Linked DNA regions of Struthio camelus. The protein of the gene in region 1 binds, or shares a complex with, the protein of each later gene. Links are inferred from orthologs where the notes say so. Each region holds a gene or a part of one and is shown on either strand. Other genes may lie near its edges.

Region 1 (7,797 bases):
AGCACGAGCAAAAATGTCACCATTACTCCATGTTCTCCAATTTCAATCAATTTTAATCATCTAAGCTGTTCTTGCTAACCTATGGTAAGGATATTTGTTCTAAGAACCTTGAATAGAGTGGTGACACTTCAGATGGCTCCCTTCAACAAAGAAGGATAAAAATGCAATTTACAGTAGGTCACCGAATCTCAAGGCAAATTCTTGCTACTGTCAATTGTGGCTTTTTCCTCAGGCCAGTCTACCTCCAGATACCAAGCACTTTGTCTCCACTGTTTGACTACACATCTTCCTGTATTCCTCCTACTCCCAGGTCAGGAGCGTTCTTCGAAGTAGTCTTCCTCGAGGAATCTAGTCTACCTGCGCTCATACAAATTCACAATATTGACTGAGAAAAATAAAATAAACAATTCAGTCATAAGAACTGGCCCAACTCCCAGTACCACAAAGAATCCTAAATAGACACATCAGCCCTAACGCAGTCCCAGAGACCCGAAGCATCCAGTTCCACCCCTCAGATACTTTCCAACTCTCTCAGAAAGACTGGGTCTGGGGCTGATGGTAAGGCCATCCCTCAACTGTCTGAGCTGGGCTCAACCAGAAGAATGCAATGCAAGATGAAAGTGGAAACTCCAGTGGTCTTTTGGGGTCCACACCCAGCAACAGAGACTGCTGCTGGATTCACGGGAAGCCGGGCACTGATTAAAAGCACGCCACTTGCCAGAAGCAACAGCTGCCACATTCCACACAAAAGCCTGCCCCATGATCTTCACAAGAAGGCCTATTAGAAAGCACTGACAACTGACAAAAGCAACATTATGAAGTGGCGAAGGGACTAGGAAGACTTCTAAGTCTGATGGGATGCTGAAAAGCATCATTTACCCATTAAGTCTGTGAGAAGCAATGGATTCTGCTACATAACCCTGAACAAGCTTCTTAGTCTATACATAAAATGGTGCTATTACCTTGTTTCACTGCAACCTCGGGTATAAAGCAATATGGAAAGGGTAAAACATTTTTTAAATAAATTCAGGAAGCTCCGAGGCACACTGCAACAGCTGACTGACTACCTTCCACATAAAAACCTGCTGAAAACCACCCACTCAACTCTGGAGACAACATTTATAGAGAAGAAAAGACAGTTCAGCGTCCACAGGTCAATCAAAGTATTAAAAACAAATTAAGGGAGGTTTGTAATTAGTAGCAATGGTGAAGTTTTATATTTTCTCTTATGTGACCACTGGAAACTAAACAAAGACTACCAAACAAGCCACTTGCCAAAAATCAGGTAGCTTTCGCATATGAGGAACCCTGCTCCCATTAAATTGGCACTTTAGATGCAAGAGACTCTATCCATCTCCATTACAAATCCTCTGAGCTCATCCTAGCATTACTTTCCCACATTAAGCAAAAGAGTTAACATAAAAAGCCTGCCTAGCTTCAGACATTATCCAGATGAAGAGAAGGGGGAAAAGAGAAAATCCCTTGTATTAACACCCTCAGCTCTCCCAAAACCTTTTCCGATATCTTTGTTCTGTCAGACCTGGCATTTATCTGAAGACATTGTCTAGCCCTAATTAAATCTTTATGTGAACCACTGCTACTTCCTGGCAGAGAACATGCATTCTTGGTGTGCTGATGGACCTACATAATTTTCACTTCTCCCTTATGGTGAGTGTTAGGCCTTGCTTGAAAACATCACAACTGTGTTCAACACAATATGTTTAAACAGAAATATGAAATTATTCAGTTCCTTTTAAAGAATGAAGAGAAACATAAGTGAAAATTATATCCCACAAGCTCAATGAAAAAAAAAAAAAACTGTGGAAACACAGAGCAAATAGTGCTGCCTGAGAACAAGGCATGCTTTTGTTTTACTGTTGTCTCAGAAAGGCATAACTGGCAGTGATATAAGAAGCAGTAAAATTTCTCTTCCAAAATAAAATCTGCAGCTATCTCTTCCCCTCCCGACGCACAAACAAATTTTGCATTATGGGAAGTCGCTTTATAAACCCCTCATACACACCTAACCGTATCTGATGAAGATAGCTCCCTCAGAACTTTGTGTTAGAAGTCTTTAAGTTGGCAGCTATTGCTCGTTCAAAGAGAACAAGGGGATATAAGAGCTATGCAAATTTTTAAACTCCCCAGTTAGAAAGGCAGAAAGCTAGAAAAGCAGATTTTATTGTTAAAAAACCCAATAATTATGTCTTAAAGAGGCCCCTTTAAATTACTTACTGATGCTAAAGGAATCTGACATTAAATAGATTAGAAATTATTGCCTTCCCTAACAATGCTTATTGTAGATGCCTTGTCCAAGCAGCAAAGCAGACAGCTGTCCTGGCAGATGTTATCAGATGGCCAAACACAACAAAGCAAATTCACTTTAAAATCATATTTAACTTTCACAGTTCTTGTTATTATCCTCAAATTCTCAGCACTTCTCTCCCTAACCAAAAGAAATAAACACCCCAGATGGCTAAAGAAAAACAGCAAGATATACATATGCTCTGTATAGCCTGACAAAGCAAGAGTCCAGCCATCTTCAAAGCACAGTGTGAGATTTAACCATTTAAGAGCCTTTTAGTTCTACAATGGGGCATCTCTGCATGTGTGGGTGAGACTACTATAAAACATCTTTGGGGTTGTGAGGTCATGACCAGATACTCTGCAAAATTTTTCCACTTTATTTGCCACTGACACAAGTCTTCCGTCAATCCATAAATTAATGTAGAACAGCTATAGATTATACTTCACATAGCTATAGATTATGCTATCTATAACCCTTAAATAAGGCATTAGGATTACTGTCCCTTAAGAAACAAATCAAGACACAAAGAAATTAAGAGCATGGTCTCACTGGAGAGGGATACTGGTACAATAGCATTCAACTGAACATCGCTTTGGCTTCTGGGAGTGTATGCCAAGGCTTCTGTGCTGCAGGAACCTGAGCCAGACTATTGTTCTTTCCCACCGAAAAGTGGGAGATCTTGTATTTCTTTGGGGCCTAAAAGCAGAAAGCGGGAGGGAATGACAGCTCATGCAGCTGTGGGCAACTTATTAACCTCTGCAAAAGCAGAGTCTGGGCTTTCTCCCATGGTCCCAGCTGTGACAGCCCAGATCAAAACCAGACTTGCCACAGATGAGAATGAACGTATGTGTAGGAGGGAAGGAGTAGACATAGCAACCCCGTAAGGGCTTGGCTAATTTTACAGTGACAATATACTCAAAACAATCTGCCTAATGTTAACAGATCATTAGCAAAACAACAATTCAAGCTCTGGGCTGAAGACTGAGCAGGTGCTTATACCTCTAAACCTCGTCACCTTCCCTACATATGCACAGGTCCTTAGAGGTTTCAACACTTTGGGAACAGGACGGCTGAGGCTGAAGAACATAACAATTCTGTAACAAGGCGCTCACATGCAGGGAAGGGAGCTGGAGGAAGCACACAACTTTCCTTCATCCATCAACTGTCTTGAAGTGGAGTAGCTCCTTCCTCATAGCAACCAGAAGCCCAGAACCCTGGCCTAACCCCAAAACTGCTAACCCCTGAACCCTCTGTCACCCACAGAGCCCTCCACTAACCCCCAGAGATAAACACTGAGTCCTCAGAGCCCCTCAAGAAGCCCTAGAGCACCCACACATCCTGATAGCTCCCCATTACCTCCACAGACCCCACCAATCCCCAGAGATCCACCCTACCTCCAGAAACCCTGCACTACCTCCACAGACCCCACCAATCCCCAGAGATCCGCCCTACCTCCAGAAACCCTGCACTACCTCCACAGACCTCACCAATCCCCAGAGATCCGCCCTACCTCCAGAAACCTCCCACTACTCCACAGCCCCCTATTAACACCCACAGGCCTCTCACTGCCTCCAGAGATCCCCATTAACTCCTGCAGATCCCCCATTAGCTCCAGAGTCCCCTGTTGATGCCACAGTTGTCCTTCTGCCTCCAGAGTCTCCCATTAACCCCCACAGATCCTCCCACTGCCCTCAGAGACCCCGATTAATGTCCAGAGGCCCTCCACTGCCTTCAGAGCCCCCTATTAATCCCCTTAGTTCCCCTACTGCCTCCAGAGACCCCCATTAACCCCCACAGAAGGCCCCATCGCCTCCAGAGACCCCCATCAACGCCCGGAGATCCCCATTACCTCAAGCCCCCCTCCCTGCAGCAATCCCCCAAAACCCCCACAGGCCCTCACCACCCCCAGTGTCCCCAGTAACCCTCAGAGCCTCCTCCAACTTCCCCCGCCCCGAGCTCCCAGCGGCCTCCAGCCGGCCTTACCGAGGCTCTGCCCCACCGGGGTGCTGAACGGGTTCCCCAGCAGAAACTCCATCTTGGGATGACAACAAACAGCGGCCCGGCGGCCCCCCCTCCCCCACCCCGCCCTGACTGGCACCCGCCCCCACCAACCGCAGCATACCCTGCCAGGCGAGGCCCGCCTCCTTGCATCCGATTGGGCCGAGACTGCACTCCCCGTGGTCTCACAGGTTAAAGAGCGTGTCCATCACTGTCAAGTGAAGGACCCGCCCCGTCGGTAATCCACGCCCTCCAGTTGATCGACAGCAGGGATATCGCTATAGGCATTCACCATTGGGCAACTGCCAAACCGTTCTCTAAGACTATTGGGCAAGTTCCACGTCAATCACAAGTGCTTCCTCCCGCCCCAAGGGCACGGTGCCCGCTCTGATTGGCTGACACCGTTTTCTCGCGCTCTGATTGCTAGACAGCCTTCCCACCCACTCCCTGACCATTGGCGGCTCAGCTTGTCACGTGGCCTTGCTTAGCAACGGGCCTGGGCTTCCGTAGCAGTCGGCTTGGAGGCCTGGGGCTGAGGCGCAGGTGGGAGCGGGGCGGTGGAGGGGGCCAGGCCGGGGGCCTGGGGCGCCGCAGAGGTCGGGGGGCCGGGGGCTTGGAGGACCGGGGCCTGGAGGCCGGGCAGCCGTGGGGCTGAGGCCCCAGGACGGCTTGGGATGGGGCCTGGGGAGGCCAAGGGGCCTGGGGTCTCTGGTCCCTGCAGGCAGCCACAGCGGCCAGCAGCCCCCTTCTCAGGGGGAAGGAGGGGAGCCCGCCTGGGTTAGTGTCACCTGGATAGGGAGGGTGAGAGGCACCGTCCTGGGCCCTGCAGCGCCTGGGGGTGTTGGGGGATGCGGAGTTGCTTCCCAGGCCTGGGCTTGTGCCGATGGTGAGCAGCAGCACCTTGTCTGGGTGATGCATCCACTGCTCTCATTTCCGCAGTGCCCAGATTGCTCCTGCAGAGTGTCAGCAGGCTGCAGACCTTGACGGTTTGGTTAGATCTGTGGCACTAACATTAGCTAAAGAGATGACAGACAAATGCAAGGAAAAGGCAGTGGAAAGTCCAGCAGGTCACAGATGAATGAATCCATGATGTGCTGCTATTCCTTGGGCTGTGTTGAACATGGTCATATAGAGAGTTGGTTTGTTACTTAAAAGCATGGTTAGGATGGAATTATCTAAATTCAAGCATTTCTCATTCCTGTGCTCCTATGCAGAGAAATCAGCCAAACTTTTTCCATGAAGTGAAGGTTTGAAGATTCAGGTCCTTCATACTGAGTCTGTGCGCAGTTCCAGAAAGACAAGCAGCCTCATTGCCTCCAGGGAAACGTTAGGTATATTTAAATAACAAAGCAAGGGCAGAGAGTTAGGAATTGTGGATTTCCTAAATCAGTTGTCAGAGTGAACGTATAAGTGTTCAATGCTATATATTGACTGAAATACACTGCCTCGGTCAGATGACCCTTACTGTGGATCTCTATTCAGTGTTTGCTTTAGCGAATCATTGCTATTGTTTATAAGTTTTCCTCCTTCCCCAAATTTGTTTTTATTTTCATTATGAAATCAGTGTTTAAAATTTAGCAAACTGCTGTTACTAACATATGGTCTCTTACTCTATAAATCAAACCTTCCTATAATGGTAAACTTGCCTTTCAAAACTAGATTTATGTGGTATACAGAGCCTTGAATAGGCCATTTCCATAAAGATGGATTTCAGCAACAAGTGACTGCCATGTGAAGGATCCTTCCGTACAAAACACTCGTTGTTTATAGGGCACAGGGCCTCCTTTAGCTGTTCTGTTTATCTGGCCAAATATTTACATTCTTTATGGAAAACTCTCAAATATGGTGTGAAGTTTGCCTGTTGTAACCTGCTAAAGTTGCCTGCCTGTACGGTTGTGCTCAGCGTAGCATCAGTGACTTTGTGGTAAAAGTAAAATACCTCTTTGATATCATCCGTGAGGTATTAAATCCTCTCAATACCCAGCTATGTTTTTGTTATCTTTGGAACTGTTATGCCATTTCAATAAATTTTGGAAATGGTAGCCAGGCAGTGGCTTTATTTATTTATTTTTTCTTTTAAGGCGCTTATCATCTAAAAATGAGTCAATTATACAATATCATTGAGCCAAATGTGATCAGCGAAGAAATGGTTCAGAAAGCTGTGGAAGAGCAAAGTCAAGATGAGGCAGGGCAGCTTGCCAAAAGGGAAGGTATTAGTTTTAAAGACGTCACAGAGCTACAGTTCAGTTTTAGAAGTGAGTATCAGAATATATATATTATATGTTTATTTATTAGAGGGTAGAAGAATTAAGCATTGAGTGGCTAACTGGCAATTATGTAATCATGATTAGCTTGGATTTGGTATATGAATAGTAAGGGACTGGACTTACATTTTTAGTCATACTTGTATGAAGTAGTTTCAGTAGAGAGAGCTGGGGGGCTTTGCTGATTGATAACTTTAAAGCTGCTTAACTTTGTGCTATTATTGTCACTGCCGTTCTTATTTAACATTTATATTGTGGTGACACCTACAGGCCATAGGCCTGTTGGGCCCTTTTATATGTGGACAAATCAAATGCTGGCCAAGCTGTTAGTGACCATCGCTGGCTATTACGTGAGGGCTATTTGGTAGCTTATGGCGATGACAGTTCAATTCAGTGGCCTCCCCTGGCCACCCATAGCATTAGGCCACCTTGCCTTTTACTGTCAAACCAGACATAAACTTGCATTCAAAAAACAAAAAAAAAAAGAAAAAAGAAAAAGAAGAACATCTGGCTCACTATTTGAGTATTTTCGGGGTACGTAATTTCATGGACAAAATCTGCTTTTGCTTATTCATTGTGTGCTCCAGTAAAATGTGTACTAAGAAACTCAGAGGATACACGCACTTCCTGTTACTTGATTCTGCATACATTTGTGTGCAAATCAGAACATGGCACTGCGTGAGTATTTAATGCATGCAGTTCCTTGCTTTACATTGCACTCGCTAAACAATAGCACCTAACAAAATCTTCAGGGAATTCATTGGCATAAAGAGAATTGGGGTGAGAATGTTTCATATTTTGTCACCTTGGTTCTAGTGTTTTCCTGTAATGCCTAACAGCCTGCCCTTGTGATGGAGTTTCTGGAGAAAGCTAAATGCAGTGATATTGATCAGCTCTGAACTGCAGCCTTCACAGAAACAGTAGTCCCCGACCTGCTCTCCTGTAATGAGAATTTCAGGGGCAGGAGAGTAACTTACAAAAGCAGTAGCTGGCTGCCAGGAGCCTGCAAATGCAGAGGAAAGCAGAGGTTCATCCCAAACCTCGCTCTTGGAGCTGGAAAGCAAAATGAATGTCAAGGCCTCCTGGTAGTAGATTCATAAAGCCGCTCTTGACTGCAGTGCTGTAGTCAGCACCGCCTTAGTGACTCATTGGCATCACTGATTAGCAGTGTGTGCTGGTGCAGGACACTGAGGTTAACCTGGCTGCTGCGCTGAAATCCTCATCCAG
Region 2 (7,968 bases), on another chromosome or scaffold:
TGGTTATTTAGTTTTGTATAAGTGTAAATGCGTGAAACAGGAGCTCAGACTATTTAATATAATTCCTTTCGGATTAAAATTTGTGGCATTAATTGCATTTTAAACATGTGCTAACTAGCAAAATGAATATTGTCTTAGAAAAACTGTAGTATTGATCAAGTACACAGCATTACCATAATGACATAGGAACACTGAGTGTTTTTCCCTTTATGTACTTTCATGTAATTTCTTAAATCCCAGCTGGAGAAAAATATGTCTTGTCTTCTGTCTAGTTCTACTTCAGGCACTACCAGTCTGACATTTTGCTTTCAGGTTCTTGTAACAGCACTACTGAGATCGGAGATATTAAAATTTAGAAAATCTGACATCTTATGTCAAATTATAAGAAAAAAAGTATCTGAGAGCAAATGGAAGAACAGATAGACCGAACTAAGAAGCAAAAGAAGGGTAAGAAATAGAATGATGGCAGGGAAGATACAGACAAATATAAAAAAAGAGATGAGGCAAACAGACTACTGTAATCAAATGAGTATAAAGAAAAATATTAAGCATTGTTGAAAAAATAAAGCAGCACAAATACAGAGCTATAAATTCATACATAAAACATATAGCCACAGATACTATGGGCATGTTCTACTAACACTTCTGTGCATGCAGGATTATATTCACAAGAATAATGTAAATTAGAGGGTAATACTCATGTGAGTAATGTTATGCATAAGAGGTTGCAGGATTTGACCTTTCACCATTTGTGTGTGTGTGTGTGTGTGTGTGTGTATCTGTAAAATATTTAAGCAGGCATTTTAACTTCGAAGAAGACAAAACTTGAAAATAATAGGACCTAAGGGAAACCTTTACCATGAAAGCTGGAGGAACTGCCGTTCTACAAAGAACTGAGGGGAATACCCTAAAGACTAATTATTTGACAATACAGCTAATGTTATTGTTCTGTTTGAACCGTAATACACAAACTGCAACTTTTACTTTATATGTGAAATGCTTGTTGGAAGAAAGCGTGATCAACATGTGAATTTAGATTTGGGGAATCCTAATTAACCCTCTAACTGCTATGCATAAGAAGGCTAATAGCAACTCCAAAATGGGTAGAAGCTACTTACCCTTGTGGGACTCCTTCTGCAGTTTAACGAGACACTGGCTGCTCGTTTGCCTCAAACGTGTTTATAATAAAGAGAAACCTTTATGAGGTAAGAAGCAACTTGTCCGCCTAATAAAAGAGTAGAACTCCCTTGAGTGATTAAAGGTGAGCTACATGTCTTGTCCTTGAAATATCCACGTGATAGAGCTTATTGGCCTCATTTTATGGATAGGAAACTAAAGTCCAGTATGTTGCTTTCCCACGATCCATTGGGAAGTCCAATAGGGCTAGGAATGGAGTTGAGGTGTCAGGGTTGCTTAGGATGGCAGCACGGACTGTTTTCCTATAGAAGGAGGCATTCCTACATTTGATACCTATTAGGAAGTGTTTTACAGGATGTTAAAAAATAAGAAGCAAAAAAAAACCAAAATATGTTTCTTCAGTAATACAGTAATTAAACCTTTTAAAAAGCATCCTCACTTTGAATCTACAAAACCTGCATTAAAACACATTACTCAAGCAACCTAAAAACCACAAGCTTCCTTCTCCAACAGTTTTTGCCTGTGGATTGCCAAAACGGTGCAAAATCTCACGTGTGTATGGGCGCTCAAAATATGTGGAGCCAGACATTGCCAATATCACGGCTATCCTGCTAAAACACCAGATTGCCTCTTCTCAGACGGGTCAGCAGCCTTCTAGACTCTTATCCTAAACTCTCTACCTATCTATCTCTACCAGTACTGTGCTTCAGCTTCATTTGTAAAACTGGAATGATTGAAAAAAAAATGCTTTTGCAAGACTAAACATAGATGGAAAACAATATTCAAGAAGTAATACCGTTAGCAACAGTCCTCGTTGAAACTACACTGGTCTTAGTTCTTACTTTATGCGAGATCTCTATACCGCAAAGTCTGTCTTAGAAATACTTCTAATGAAATCGAGTTACTCATTCAGCACTATCCGCAACAAATGCTTATACAGGATTTCTCTATGGAGGATACTGTTTTTCCTGAATAATATGAAATAATTCATTATTTAGATTAAATATAATATTTAGAATTTGCAAAATATTACTATGTACACCAGTTTATTTACGGAAATGAGGGGTGAGTTTTAAGAGTCGCAGTATTGTGAGTTTTACAGGAAGTACATTTGCTTTTCTTGAAATGATACTTGAATATCCTTGCGGCGGGAGTTACCCTTAGCCTATAAAACATCATTTCTGCTAATGCTTGCTAAAGTAGAACATGCTTGCCTCTAAAAATAAGTCATGATGCTATCAGCAGCCCAGATTACTTTTTTTTGGCAGAGGTCGCCTGACACATCCAAAAATGAATGAAAGAGGAGATGACCAACTGGCTAAAGCAGCTGGTTTAGCCCCCCCACCCCACCCCCGAAGCCACCCCAAGTGGTGACAGCGCGGCCGGGGTGGCATTGCCTGGGGCGGCATCACCCAGGGGTGGCATCTCCTGGTGGGGTGGCATCACCCAGGGGTGGCATCCTCCACCACAGGGAGTGCTGGGGAAGGAGCCCTTCCCCCGGAGGCAGGGGCAGGTAAGAGGCGGTGGTGCTGCACAGGGGGGTGTGTGTGTGTGTCTTTATGTCTCCGCGCATTTGTGTGCCCGTGTGGTGTCTGGCTGCCACCGTGCGTGGGGCGGACGGCGGGCGCAGCGTCTCTCCGTGCCCGTGGGCCCGGCCGGCAGCAGCCCCGCGGCTCCGCAGGCCGCAGCCAGCCACCCGCCGGGCGGCTCCGGCGCAGCCCCAGGCGGCCAAGCGCGCCGGCGGCGGCCCGGCCCGGCCCGGCCCGGCCGAGAGGCTGCGGGCGGCTCCCCTCGCCCCGGCCTGGCCTTACCCTCGCTGCTCCCCTCCTCCTCCGCCATGGCGCCAGCTCTGCGCCGTCGCCATGGCGACGCGGGCCGCCCGTCAGCGCCGCCGGGCCCGCGGCCGGGCCCGGGCTTCGGCTCAGGCCGGTGAGCGGCGGCCGGCCGGGGCCCGGCGGCGCTGCCTGGCGGCGGCGGAGGGGTCCGTGCTGTCGGTAAGCGGCGGCCTGGGCGCGGGGCCCCGCCGCAGCGAGGGCGCTTCGCGGCCCCCGAAATCGCCCTTAACTGAGGCCTCTCGGCGCGCGCCGCGGAAGGCAAATAGAAGGTCACTGGCGGGGCTCGTGGCCGGCGTTGAGCGTTGACCTTACACGCCAGCTCTCCGTGGCGGCCGAGCCCCAAAAGGCGGGTGAAGGGCCACGCCAGCGCGCACCCCGCAGCGGGCAGCGGACGGGGCCTCGCTCGAAGCGGGAGCAGCGCCCGCCGCCCAAACCGCCCGGGACCGCGCGCCGCAGCGAGCGGTAGTCGCTGCGGTACCCCCCCGGCTACCAAGGAGGTAGAAAACGCAATGGGAAAGTACCGCTGGCCTGCGAGGTAGCGTCGCTCGCAGCACGCCGCTGCCCTGGCTGGCAGGCTGTGAAGGAGCCCGAGAGATGTTGCTGTTTCACAATAGTCTATGCTCTTCTAAATTGAGTTTTCCCAGCAGCTGCATAATTTCCCACGTATCTGAGCTTCAGACAGTGAAGGAACATTTCCTTCTGAATACCACCACCCTGAAACCCCTAAAATAGTCTATCCACTAATCCTAAACAGAACTACACGGCTAAAATTCTAGGTACATCTTTTAGCAGACGTGTTTGCAATTCATGGTTCTTCCAACTCTAAAAACAACTACGGAAGTACAGAAAATACAGATAAAATAAGAATTAATTTTCCAATCAGATGCAATCATATATTCATAGAAAAAAAAAAACGCTTTTATGAAATTCCTAGAACTAGAACCTGGTCCTTGCCACCGCGGGTGCCTATTTGCCAGATGTTTAAATTTTGCAAAGCTCAGGTGGATGGTTCCTCCTCACACACCTTTATCCACCTCTCAAAGAAACAGTTAGATGTGCTCAGCACTCATGGAAGCTTGAAATTTCAAGCAACCCATTGAGCAGAGATAGGACTTCCTTGCTCTAAAAAATAACTTGCTTTTTAATAACATTTGCTATTTGCAGGAAATAGAAATCCACAGTGCCTTTCAGCCATTTATTTCTGCATTTTTATTGAATGTAGCTCAGAATAAAGTGGGTATAATAGATACCCAAGAGAACACACAATTACTCTGTTGGGAAAACAGCTGTTTGTGCTCTCTGAGCAAAGCTGATCCCTCTGAATGGTAATCTGTAGACTTGAACGGTTTACGAAAGTAACTAAATATTTCAAAGTACATATTTGACTGCATGAGGAGCATGGATTTGTTTCCTCTCAAATTTATAGAAGAAGTTCTGGTGAGAGCAGCAGCATGGCAGCAAAAGGAAGAGGGCCTAGCAGCAGCACAAGGAAAGGCTGTTGTTATCTTTCAATGTTACAGCGGTCCCATTTCTTATTCTCTCAAGACTTCCACACGCAAAACCTTTGTCCTGACTGGTTGTGTGTCTGTGGCAAATGAGTTACATGTTTGAAACTGAAGAAAAGTGCCAAATACGTTGTTGGACAAGCTCAGAGCTTTCTTAGTTAGTACTTCCCTCCTCTACCCCAATTGTGAAATTTCATGTTCTCCAATATTGTTCTCCGGCATTAGATTTCTTGTGTTATTTTCCAGATTACCTGATTCAACAGAGAACTTTCAGAGCTCTTCAACAAATGCTAAGTTATTCACAGTGTTTACCAAGTTCTAATAAATGCTTTTAAAAATCCTATTTCAGTCTCATTTAGGTTTTCTTGCCAAACCCATACCCAAAATATGAACAACCACCAGTTTTAAAATAGATATAAATATTGCTTATCATGCTAATTTATTAAAAATCTTGTGTTTTTACAGTTGCCTTTGACTTGAAGTGAGTCTTTGCAAATATGAAGAGGTGAGAAAGGAATTTCACTCAGGCCAGTACATTTAACATCTTTCCAGTAATTTCCCCAGGGCCTATGCTTGGTCTACCTCACCAGCCTAAGGGTTTGAACTCGGGTCTTCTCCCCACACTTGTTTTAACTTCCTCGAAGAATGAGGGCAACAGAAGCAGTGTGTAAAAGCTAAAAAGAAAGGGAAAAACTGTCTTTCGCTTCCAGTAGGAAATGCTGCATACTCACAATGTCTGCATCCTATTGTAGCAGCTGAACCAGACCCTCACCAGATGGTACAATAGCTCCGTTAGGACAGCATTATACCAAGTAGATAAAGGTATTGGTCAAATCCTGGATTTTTGTATCAAACTCATTAAGTTTGATACCTTTAACCTCGCTGCAAAATCTTTCGTCACTTACAGCTATCATTAATATCAGCAAACAATATTTTGCCCTATCCTGCCCCTGTTGTTGAGATTGCACTCATGACGAGTACTGTAAATCAAAGTGCTTTGTCTGCATCCCCTGCTCCAGCCTAGAGTTTCCTTTTGCTTTGAATAGCTTGTGGCCAAATGTCAGCACCTGTTTCCCCTTCTTCCCCCACCTCCTGATACACAGGGTTGGGCATCTTGCCTGTCTGCAGGAGCAGAACAAAATACGCAATGAGAAAGCGCTTCAAAATGAAAACTCACTGTTTTAAAATTTCCTGGCAACGCTATCTTGAAAAATGAAGGAAAAAAATGGTAACAGTTATGATGCAGATCAAATATTGGACCTGAACCACATGACTGTTTCCCTTCTAACTTAATGCACAGACATCTCAAACCAAGGGTATGAGTGGGCTGAAACAACTAATCGTGTTTTGGCACAGACAAGTACAAAAGGAAACCCAGAACTACTAATTCAACAGCTTGGAATATCAGCTGCTACGCTACATGCAAGATCTTTAAAGAGCTCCTCTGAAGAGAACATACCCTTTTAAACTTGTAATTTTTCGTTTAAAAATGTCAAAAAATATCTCAGGGAAAAATATGGAAGAAACCAGCTATGTTGATGTCCAGTCTGAATCCACTGAAGCCTAATAGAAAGAAGGCACCCTTACTTCTGCACTTAAGGAATTTCATCACATACATTCCTCTCAAATATCAGGGACCTATCACACATTTTGTATATTTTCTGTACATAGACATTTTGTTTGGCATTAAAAAAGTAGTACTAAAATGGGAAAAGTGATGTAAAAGATAAAGTATTTTCAGGAGGCACAATAATGCCTACCAACCCTCCATGGTTTTGGGATTGCAGCGTTTGGACACATCTTTATTGTGAACACATGTTGAAAATCTTTGCTATGGGACTCCCTCTGTGGATCTGAACAGACCATATAACTGAAGACACATTTGCCCTTCACAGAGAAAGCAAAGTAATAGCTGTGATTCTGTAACTGGAGTCTACCTTTACTCCTCTGCCTAAGTTCTTACAGCTAAAATGTATCTCTGGGTGGCAGTGCCCTTTTCCCCCAATATAACATGAAAGACCCCAGTGCATTTGGCATCTTCATTTCGGTCTTCCTTCGGATCAGCAGCTGATTCAAGTGACTCAGTAACAGCTTCTTCAAAATGGGGTATTAGCAAAACATTATCTGTTCACTCAAATGATATACAGCAACTAGATAAAAAATGAGAAAAAAGACTGTTCTTTACCTATACTATGTCTTCCCTTCAAATTTTGGGTAAATTCCATTGAGAGCAGATACCTCATTCCTTGATGTGTGGGAGGGAAATGTCTTCTCTTCCTGCTTGTTTCCTTTTTTCCTTAGAGTCTGTTGAGCCTATGCTTGGACCAGATGAAGAGAAGCCTCATAGAGTGGGCAGAGCCAGACAGTAGGCATACCCACCACTAATAGCTCTGCCGTTGACCTCTTCAAAACTGCTGGTATTTTCATCAGAATCTTGTCTATCTATTTTGTTTTCTTTTTGAAAAAGAAAGAAGAGCCTTTCGGGTGCAACTCTAACCAACAGAAGAGCAATAAGCACATAAATTTACATGATAGTTCCTTCATTTTCCGTTCAGGTAATAAACAAGGACTTAACCCAAGAAGCCCAAATCCTGGCCTCCTGAATAAGTTATCTGAAGGTATGATTGCATGAGAGATGGGGAGTTCACTGAGGCTGAAAGGGGAGGATCGAGCCCTTTCTTCTATTCCTGCCCCTCTTTCTCTTGTTGCTGACTGTACATCCACCTTCCACCTTGTGCTAGCTCGGACATTCATTGTGAGCAGATTTGACTCGCTAATGTAGCAAAAGATAATCCATCCGAAGTGGATTGTTTTCTGCCATGTTAATAAGTTCAACAAAGGGCCTGACAAGTGCCTGAACCAGCATAGGCAGGGAGTTGGACCGTGCAAGTAGAAGTGAGGAAGAAATACGGAGGATGAAGGCAGCAAGCGGGAGATATTCTTTTGGAAGGTGAAAGCTCAGTTGCTGGCTGAGTCTGTAAATCAAACAAGGAAGGAAGAAAGGAAACAATAGGTTCTAAGGTGGCTTATAATGACAGCATCTCAAATCCTTCTCAGTCCACAGGATGGCACTCGAAGTGCCCAGGCAAGTATCTCCTGCTGCCCATGTACAGGTATGATCCTATGGATCTGTAGATGCTCCTCTCCTGCCTCCGCAAAGCTGTGTTTGGGGAAAGTGACTGAACACACATTAAAAAGAGTTACTAGGAAAAGGGAAGCACCTTTTCCCCTCAGCAATATTCCTCAATGTCAAGGCACTACTGACAGCGCTTAGCCTCTGGGACTATGCCTAAGGAGCTGTAGCAGAAAAGAAAACCTTACTTTTATATCCAACTGCCTGGATGCTGTTCTCCAGCCCACCCAGACACAGAAGTAGCCCTAGAGACCCACATATTTTAACCTTCAGACTTTATTAACATTAATTATATCTAGAAATGAAGCCAGAATCCCTGAGAACACTCTGGCAGGAACAAAATACAATAATCCATCTG
Region 3 (7,408 bases), on another chromosome or scaffold:
TATTTTCAGCAGATAGGAAGAAATATCAGTGCCACTGTATAAGACACCACTAAACTCAGATAAGGCACTGCGCGTGTTTCTAGTCATTTGTGTTCAAAAACATGCAGAGACAGAGGAAGACTAGTGGGGTGATTGGAGGAACGGAGAATCTGTTTTACAAGAGGTTAAACGACTTGAGGAGTGTGATTACTCTCTGTAAATATATTTGAAGGGCAGATACTAGGGAGGGACAGAGCTATTTAAGTTAAAAGATAATACTGTTACAAGGTCAAAGGAGTATGATTTCCTCATGAATACACTTAGCCAGGCAGTTACGATGAGGTTTCTAACTTTCAGAAAGATCAAGATAATGGCAGAGGCACCCTAAACTATTTTAAGAACCTTGCTAAAACCATGGCAGAAAAGGTAACAGCAAAGGAGTGATTCCAAATACTTTCAATAGGCTTACTATCCTTCCTGTACTACTTATATTTATTTAAATAACTAATCTCACTCTTTAGGGCTTTTGATTGTGACCTTTAACTTAGGAAGTGATTTCCTCCCTTTGCTTCTGAGATTTTTTTCTCTCCTTTCTCTGGATTATAAGAAATGTGCTACAGCTTGAGATAGGAATCTGATAAAATGATTAACTAAAGGTAGCTAATAATCTGTATAACAGTAATAAACGTCACTTTTCTTTTCACACTTGGCATTAATAGTAGAAATGGAGATGCAAGTTCATCTGAGTTAAGTATTTTTACACAGAGAAAGTCAGACAGTCTCTTTACAGTTAACAGGCACTAGTTAATTGTTATGTAAATTTGTTTTACCTTTTTTTAAAAAGAAATCATGATATTTCAGGTCTAAACAACATGAGAATAGTCTCTTACATGTTCAGCCCGAATGATAAAAATTTGGAGAAAACAGATTTCTTGAGAGAGCTGTGACAAATGATTACAACAACATTTTTGAAAGAAGAAATAACACTTGCAGCTCTCATAGGAAAAAGTGACTTATTTGGAAACAGCGGAGGATGCAATGGCTTTTCCTGTACCCCATCAGCAACTTCTGTCCAGGAGAGAATTAACTCAAGATATTTATGTGTTTTAAGAAATCACACAGCTGGAATGTAATGTTTCTTTAAAGCCTCCTATTTGCTCCTCCTATATATTTCCTCTTATATCCGTATACTCAGCAGATGCTTGTGCCAAGCCAGTAAGCTCTGCCTGGGCTTATGTTGACTTGGAAGTGAGAAGGAAACCACTGTCTGGGGCATTTAGAAACACTGCAAATAGTGAGCTGCTCTCACTAGATTTTAGCATGAATGCAGTGCCCACAGACCATCCTGATTCAGTCACTGACATTGACCTAAATCACTGTACTTTGCTCAACTCCTTCGTTAAACTCTATTAACGAAAAAGAGGTATGTGGAAGACTGAGCTTCCCCCAAGAGTTTAGGCTGACATTCTTTCCCTGCTGTTCTAAAGAAAAAGAAAAACATATCAAGAAATAATTTTAAAAACAACTGTATAAAAAGTCTGGCCTACTGTTCCTTCCTTGGGGAATTGTAACTCCCTCTGCTGTGTGAGAGCCCTGCATGTACATTTCTCCCATCCTGCTGCCTGATAAACTGAAAAGGCTGCAAAGACAGTAGGCTTTTAGGCAGCATTTCTGCAGCATCCTCTTTAGTCAGTTAAGAAGTAGCAATACGGATGAATTCCACTGAGAAAATTCAAAGCTGAGAATGTCACATCTCCTTTAGCTCTGTTTTGCAAACATACTGTCAAAGTGAAACCTCTGAGTTCCCACAGTGGCAGAACTGGACCATACAGCATATCTTAGCTTTTCTAGAACAACGTCTATTAGGCGAGCAAAGCCGCTGTGGTCTTACTAAACTCTACTACTACAAATGTTAGAAAATAAGTTGCTCGTTTGAAAAAAGAGAAAATAAAACTTGATAAATTAAAGTAATCTTGGTTTTGGCTTTGAGATGCCATCCAGGCTTTGTTCCGACTGTAGAAAAACATTTTCAGCTCCTGCTCTCTGAGACTGTACCGATGAGACGCTAGAACTAAGTGCAAAGAATAAAAGACGTGGTGCTACTCTTAGCTCTATTATGGGACTTAATCTGTATGGGACAGGAGAAGACCAGAGTTAGGGAACATTTATTGGTTGTGGCATCAGTACTGTTGGAAAAGTGAGTGTTTGGACAGTTGGTTTGTTCCCCTCGAAGCAGGGATCGTGTCCTTTCTCTGACCAGAGAGGTTCCTAGCAGGCTCTTTGCTCCTAGTAAGTAGGTCACCGAGCATTACTGGGCTTGCTGCCTCTTCCTTCAAGCAGAAGCCAACACAGGAATTGGGAGAGTCAAAACACCCCCTCCCCTCTCCGCTCCTCCTCCCCAGCCATTTTATCTGTCTAAGAAAGATCCCTGCTTATGCACGCTCACAAGGCATGGCGTGCTGCTACCCTGGCCCAGCAAAGTGCAGACAGACTCAGTTTTCTCACGGGATCAGGATCCACTTCCTCAGCCCAGGTTGGAGCCCTCAGAGCCCGGCTGACGAGGTGACGAGATGACACCAGGTTTAGTTACCAAGGTTAACTGCGTCATACAAGCACGGAGGGCACAGGCTCAGGTGCAGTTTAAGACACTTCGGAGCAAAGTTGCAATGCAAGGCAGGGTGGCGAGGGTACATTTGAAACGGGAATTAGGTTCCCGCATCCCTTAAAGCGCTCTGTAGACGCACCTGAATGCCTGGCCCTGCGAGGGAAGCGGCAGAAAGCAGCCGGGAACGACGCCGACGCGCGGAAACAGGTAAGTACGCGCTCACGTCTGCTCTTATTCGGTAAAACACCGCAACGTGAGACTTCACAGGCGTGGCGGTTCCCCGCCAGCAAGGTGACAGGCGGGTACAGCGGACGCCGAGATGGCCCCCGGCCCGGCCCGGCGCGGCGGTGACGGCCCCCTCGGCCCGGCCCGCCGCTCACCGGGGCTTCGCGCCCGCGGCGTCCGTCTCCATGGTGACCGCCGGGGACCTTTTGGGGCTGCCCCTGTGGGTGCCTGCAAGGCCGGATGAGAGCCCCCCCCCCCCGCATTTCGGCCCGTGGGAGCAAGGGGAAAGCGAGCGTTGGGCTGAGGAGGGGCCGCCTGGGGCTTTGTTACCACTTGCGGCGTCTTAGCTTTCTCCACCCAGGCGGCACCGTGGCCACCCACGGGGGGAGGGGGGTCCACGCCGGCCCATATCCCGGCAGGCCGCGCGGCTGTTCTCTCTTTCGCCGCCATCTTGGCTCGGCGCCGCGGGGGTGAGGCGGGAGCGGCGGCGCGGGGCTGAGGGGGCCGCTTCCCCCCCCCTCCCCCCCCCCCAAGCCATGGGGCTGCCGGCGGGCGCGGGGCACTCGGGGCGCTGCGGCTGGCGCCGAGCGGAGGCGGCGGCGGGCGGGATGGCGCCGATGCGTGGCGGATGGTCCCGGGTGCCGTTGGGAGCCCGCAGCTGAGGGGGGGCGAGGCGTTCGGGCCGTCCCGTCCCGTTCGGGGGGGGGGGGGAGCAGGCGGCCTTGGCGGCCCGCGGGCGGCAGCACCCGTCGTGGGGAGGTTGGCGGCCGCTCTGCCGCTGTCGCCGGCCGTGGTGTGGGCGGCCCCGGCCCGCCGGCTGTGGCGGCCGGGTGTCCCGGGCCCGGCGGAGCAGGCCGAGGCGGCTGCCGCCCGGCCGGCAGGCAGGGGCTGCCGGGTGAGCTGTCGGCCCGAGGCGCTCATGGCTCATTGTGTCGTTTCTAGGCCTGCTGGACCAGGGCTTCAGGAGGACGCCATGAGCGGGAGGTGAGTGACCTGCCCCGATACGGGGTCTCGGCTCGCTGTGACAGCCGCACTTTTGGCAGGTGGTCTTGTAAACGGAGTATTCCCGAGTGTGTACCGTCAAACAGTGATTCGTGTTTCCTGTGGCTGCCCCTTTTTCTGGACAAGTTCTCTGTCTGACGCTGTGCTGTGCCTGCTTTGTTAAACACCTATGGTTGTGTCTCCACTACCTTAAACTGGTTGTAATTGTTCATATGATGTGCCAGGCTTTCCAGTGCCTGGCTTTTGATGCTGAACATTAGTGTGGTTTCAGTTATCACGGTGTTTAAGAGCCTGCAGTGTACAGTACAGGTTTTCCCATACTGTTTTCTTAAGTAAGAGAGGTACTGTGACACCACAATTTTTTAATGGACGTAGGGAGTGTTAATACTGCATGTGCCAGAAAAATGAAAACTGAATTACAGTGTCTTGTTTTGATATGCTTGGGTTTATCTTATGCACATACGGGAGATAAAACTAGATAAGTCAGTTTGACGTTGTAATATTATGGGCCAGTTGGCATATGCAGTTGAGACTAGTTATATTTTCTATGTGATATATAGAATCAGCCATGTAATTGCTTGAAGTGGGTGGGACAAACAGGTCTTTGTCATGAAAAATTGTTGGGGTGATAGTATAATGTAATTTGTCCATTGGATGTGGACGGAGTGACTGTCCCCAGAGACTGCAGTTAATTCCTTTGAGGCTGCAAAGTTGTGTTACGATGGACAACAGTTAATATCTTCTCCTATAGCAGTTAGTACAGCACAGGAGACTGTCACGTTAGTGTGATGTATTGAAAACAGTAACGTTTACCCATGCCAAAAACAGTTTGCAAATGTTTGAAAATATAACATATGCTAATATTGAAAGGCTTTGCTCTTGGTATGAAGGCTGTAGTAGAAAGAGAAGTTTATAACAAAGAAAGTTATAGAGTTCTTAAATGCTTCAGGCTCCAGGTACTTTTCTCCGTTGACTGGCTGTAAGGGTTTGTAGAAATCTATATAAACGAAACTTTATTTTTTCATCAACTAAACTTCTCCTGGTGTAAAAATAGTTCCTTCTGAAACAGAACATTATTTGTTTTTTGCATCTAATACCTTGGAGTGATTTATCATTTATCAATGTTTTTAGGTTGTGGTCCAAGGCCATTTTTGCTGGCTACAAACGTGGCCTCCGAAACCAGAGGGAGCACACTGCCCTTCTGAAAATTGAGGGGGTTTATGCCCGGCAGGAAACAGAGTTTTACTTGGGCAAAAGATGTGCCTACGTGTACAAAGCTAAAAAGTAAGTAACTTTTCGTTGTTGTGCTAAATTAGAAACTCCTATATCAGCTTTTGCAAAGGCTGGGATGTGATCAGTCACTTCTTGTTGTGACAAAAATAAGTTGAGCTGAGCTTGTCAACAGGCTGTCCGTGGAGTGTTTTGTAGAGTAGTTTCCTTGGTTGGTCTCAGTTTAAAGTTTTTCAGGATGTGTCTGCTTTAAGTGACCTTTGTGTTGTTAATTCAGATCGTGTATTTATATGGGAATAGCTTTGCTCTTAGAAACACTATATTAACAAGTGGGATAACAAATTTTGCTTCTGAGGCTAGCAGAGCTGAAGGCAAGCTGATAATGCAGTATATTGGAGTTAGCTGAATTGGTGTTGATCACTATGACATTTCAATTATTTAAATGGCCGAAGAACATTACATGAAGCCTGGAGTGCAGCCTGAAGGAGTTTGAATCCTGAGCTGCTTTTGCGTGCCTGTGTCAGAGCAATGTCACTTCTGCTATACTGGTGTTGGTGGAGGCCTTAGAGTAGTTGCTTATGCCTTTCTACTTAGTGTGTAATTGTGAGAGCTAGATGCAAGAGTTCAGAGTTGCACTGAATAAAATTGGTCAGGCTATTTGCGTGTTGATCTTCGTTTCCAAGGTGGTTTATGCCTTTTTTTTTTTTTAAAGCAATTTTCGCAGTCTATCCCGGTGCCTTAGGCCGCTCTTGCCCTTTGGTGTATCTGGAGAAATCTTAGAACATGTTACTTTTTTTTTGTAGTAACAGCTTATGAGTTTTCATGTTGATTATCTTAACATCCAGTGATTTTTTTTTTTTCATCATCTTAAGGTTATGTCTCATTAGTAGCTCTGCAGTGGAGCTGCTGATAAATTACTAGCCACGATATTCCCTCCATGTGGAGGGCGTAGTGGAAATTACAGCCGTAACAGTTTCCAAGGGCACATGAAAGTGGAAGTTGATCCAATTAAAAATGACTGGAATACAATTATGGAAGTGCCTTAAAGAGGCTACGTTGTCTGTCCCATCACTGGTCAGTCTTGCGCAGAGTCAAGACTGAGATGCTCAGAATTTTTTTTCGCTGTTTCTTTAGCAACACTGTAACCCCCGGTGGTAAGCCCAACAGGACACGAGTGATTTGGGGGAAGGTAACCCGCGCCCATGGGAACAGTGGCATGGTTCGTGCTAAGTTCCGTTCCAACCTTCCTGCCAAGGCCATTGGACACAGAATCCGAGTGGTAAGTGGATATATTTTAGCAACAAGATGTTTTTTGATAGTGTTTTTGGGATGTGTTTTAATCTCCCAGAGTACGAGGGAGAGCTTGGAATATACATATGACTTCGTTCTGTTACTACTGTGTGTTCAACATGGCCCTGTGGTAAGTGCTCCTTTTGGAGCTAGAAGAGGTTTAGCACTGGCTTCTTGTGTTGAGAGGACTGGTCTCATTGTTGAGGGGTTTGTATGCTTATTCAAGTTGACTGCAAAGGCTTTTTAAGTTCCTAAATTCTTCCTCAACTCCTTTCTAAAGCCATTTTGATTCCTCTTCCCTAAATCTTGTGCGTGTTCTTTTTATATGCTTCCTATTCTCCATTTCCTACCATTGGCAAGGGAGCTATGACATCAGTTTTCCTTTTCTCTTGCAAACACTTTCACTGAGGGCTCCGCAGTCTTGCGGCAGTAGGACCTGTTCAACAATTTGTTTGGTCACAAGGCTTCAGTGAAACTTTCCCTTTTGGGCCATCACCCAGGCTTTTCATGCAGGATCTTGCTAGTGATACTGTCAAGAGGAGCGTCAGAAAGATGCGATCCTTACTTTTCATGTTTTTCCTGTGCCTTACAAAAAGCGTGGTAGGAACAGCATGGTTAAAGCCTGAAAGTAGGCTCATGAGCATCTCCTCCTCTCAGTGAATGGAAGGGCTGGCTGCATGGGGAGGGAGCCTCTCTGCCAGCAAAGTGATACTTCAAGTCTTTGAACCAATTGCTAGGCTTTTTTTTATTCTTGCACCTCTTCTGTGAAAATTGGGGCCTGTTTTTGTAGTAGTTGGGGATCCATGATTGTAGAATGCAACTGCAAGATTTGTTTGAAACAGTACAGTGCAGTAACAAGATTTCTAACATGATTCTGTTTGTTTTTTACAGATGCTGTATCCATCTAGGATCTAAATTTTTATTGGAAATAAAATGTGGAATCTGTTTCATTTTTGTACACTTGTGTTTTTATCCCCTCTAACTGTTCTGAAGAATTTTTTTTTGGGTAGTGTATCAGAATCCACAGCACAGTGATGCAGTAGTGAGTCTGAACTAGGTGTTTAAAATGGAGATTTG

The links. Proteins that work in one complex are often made in the same cells at the same time.
Region 2: DRC3 (region 1) and EFCAB2 share a complex: the UniProt entries of both Homo sapiens proteins name them as parts of the nexin-dynein regulatory complex. The link is inferred for Struthio camelus from reciprocal best matches to the Homo sapiens genes DRC3 and DRC8.
Region 3: DRC3 (region 1) and IQCG share a complex: the UniProt entries of both Homo sapiens proteins name them as parts of the nexin-dynein regulatory complex. The link is inferred for Struthio camelus from reciprocal best matches to the Homo sapiens genes DRC3 and DRC9.

Annotation. Positions count from the first base shown.
Region 1 is NC_090956.1:3,768,504-3,776,300, reverse strand, and holds the start of DRC3 (dynein regulatory complex subunit 3), read left to right. Parts: upstream 1-4,791; 5' UTR 4,792-4,849; intron 4,850-5,520; 5' UTR 5,521-5,637; intron 5,638-6,387; 5' UTR 6,388-6,404; coding exon 6,405-6,561; intron 6,562-6,576; exon of another isoform or gene 6,577-6,941; coding exon of another isoform or gene 6,942-7,104; intron 7,105-7,797. Other genes in the region: TOM1L2 (TOM1-like protein 2), read right to left, coding at 4,292-4,343. UniProt on the Homo sapiens protein: Component of the nexin-dynein regulatory complex (N-DRC) a key regulator of ciliary/flagellar motility which maintains the alignment and integrity of the distal axoneme and regulates microtubule sliding in motile axonemes.
Region 2 is NC_090944.1:99,241,817-99,249,784, reverse strand, and holds the start of EFCAB2 (dynein regulatory complex protein 8), read right to left. Parts: upstream 3,012-7,968; 5' UTR 2,977-3,011; coding exon 2,949-2,976; intron 1-2,948. UniProt on the Homo sapiens protein: Component of the nexin-dynein regulatory complex (N-DRC), a key regulator of ciliary/flagellar motility which maintains the alignment and integrity of the distal axoneme and regulates microtubule sliding in motile axonemes.
Region 3 is NC_090950.1:21,486,632-21,494,039, forward strand, and holds the start of IQCG (dynein regulatory complex protein 9), read right to left. Parts: upstream 3,012-7,408; 5' UTR 2,997-3,011; coding exon 2,965-2,996; exon of another isoform or gene 2,724-2,964; intron 1-2,723. Other genes in the region: RPL35A (large ribosomal subunit protein eL33), read left to right, coding at 3,050-3,279, 3,752-3,793, 4,943-5,095, 6,176-6,320, 7,223-7,246. UniProt on the Homo sapiens protein: Component of the nexin-dynein regulatory complex (N-DRC), a key regulator of ciliary/flagellar motility which maintains the alignment and integrity of the distal axoneme and regulates microtubule sliding in motile axonemes.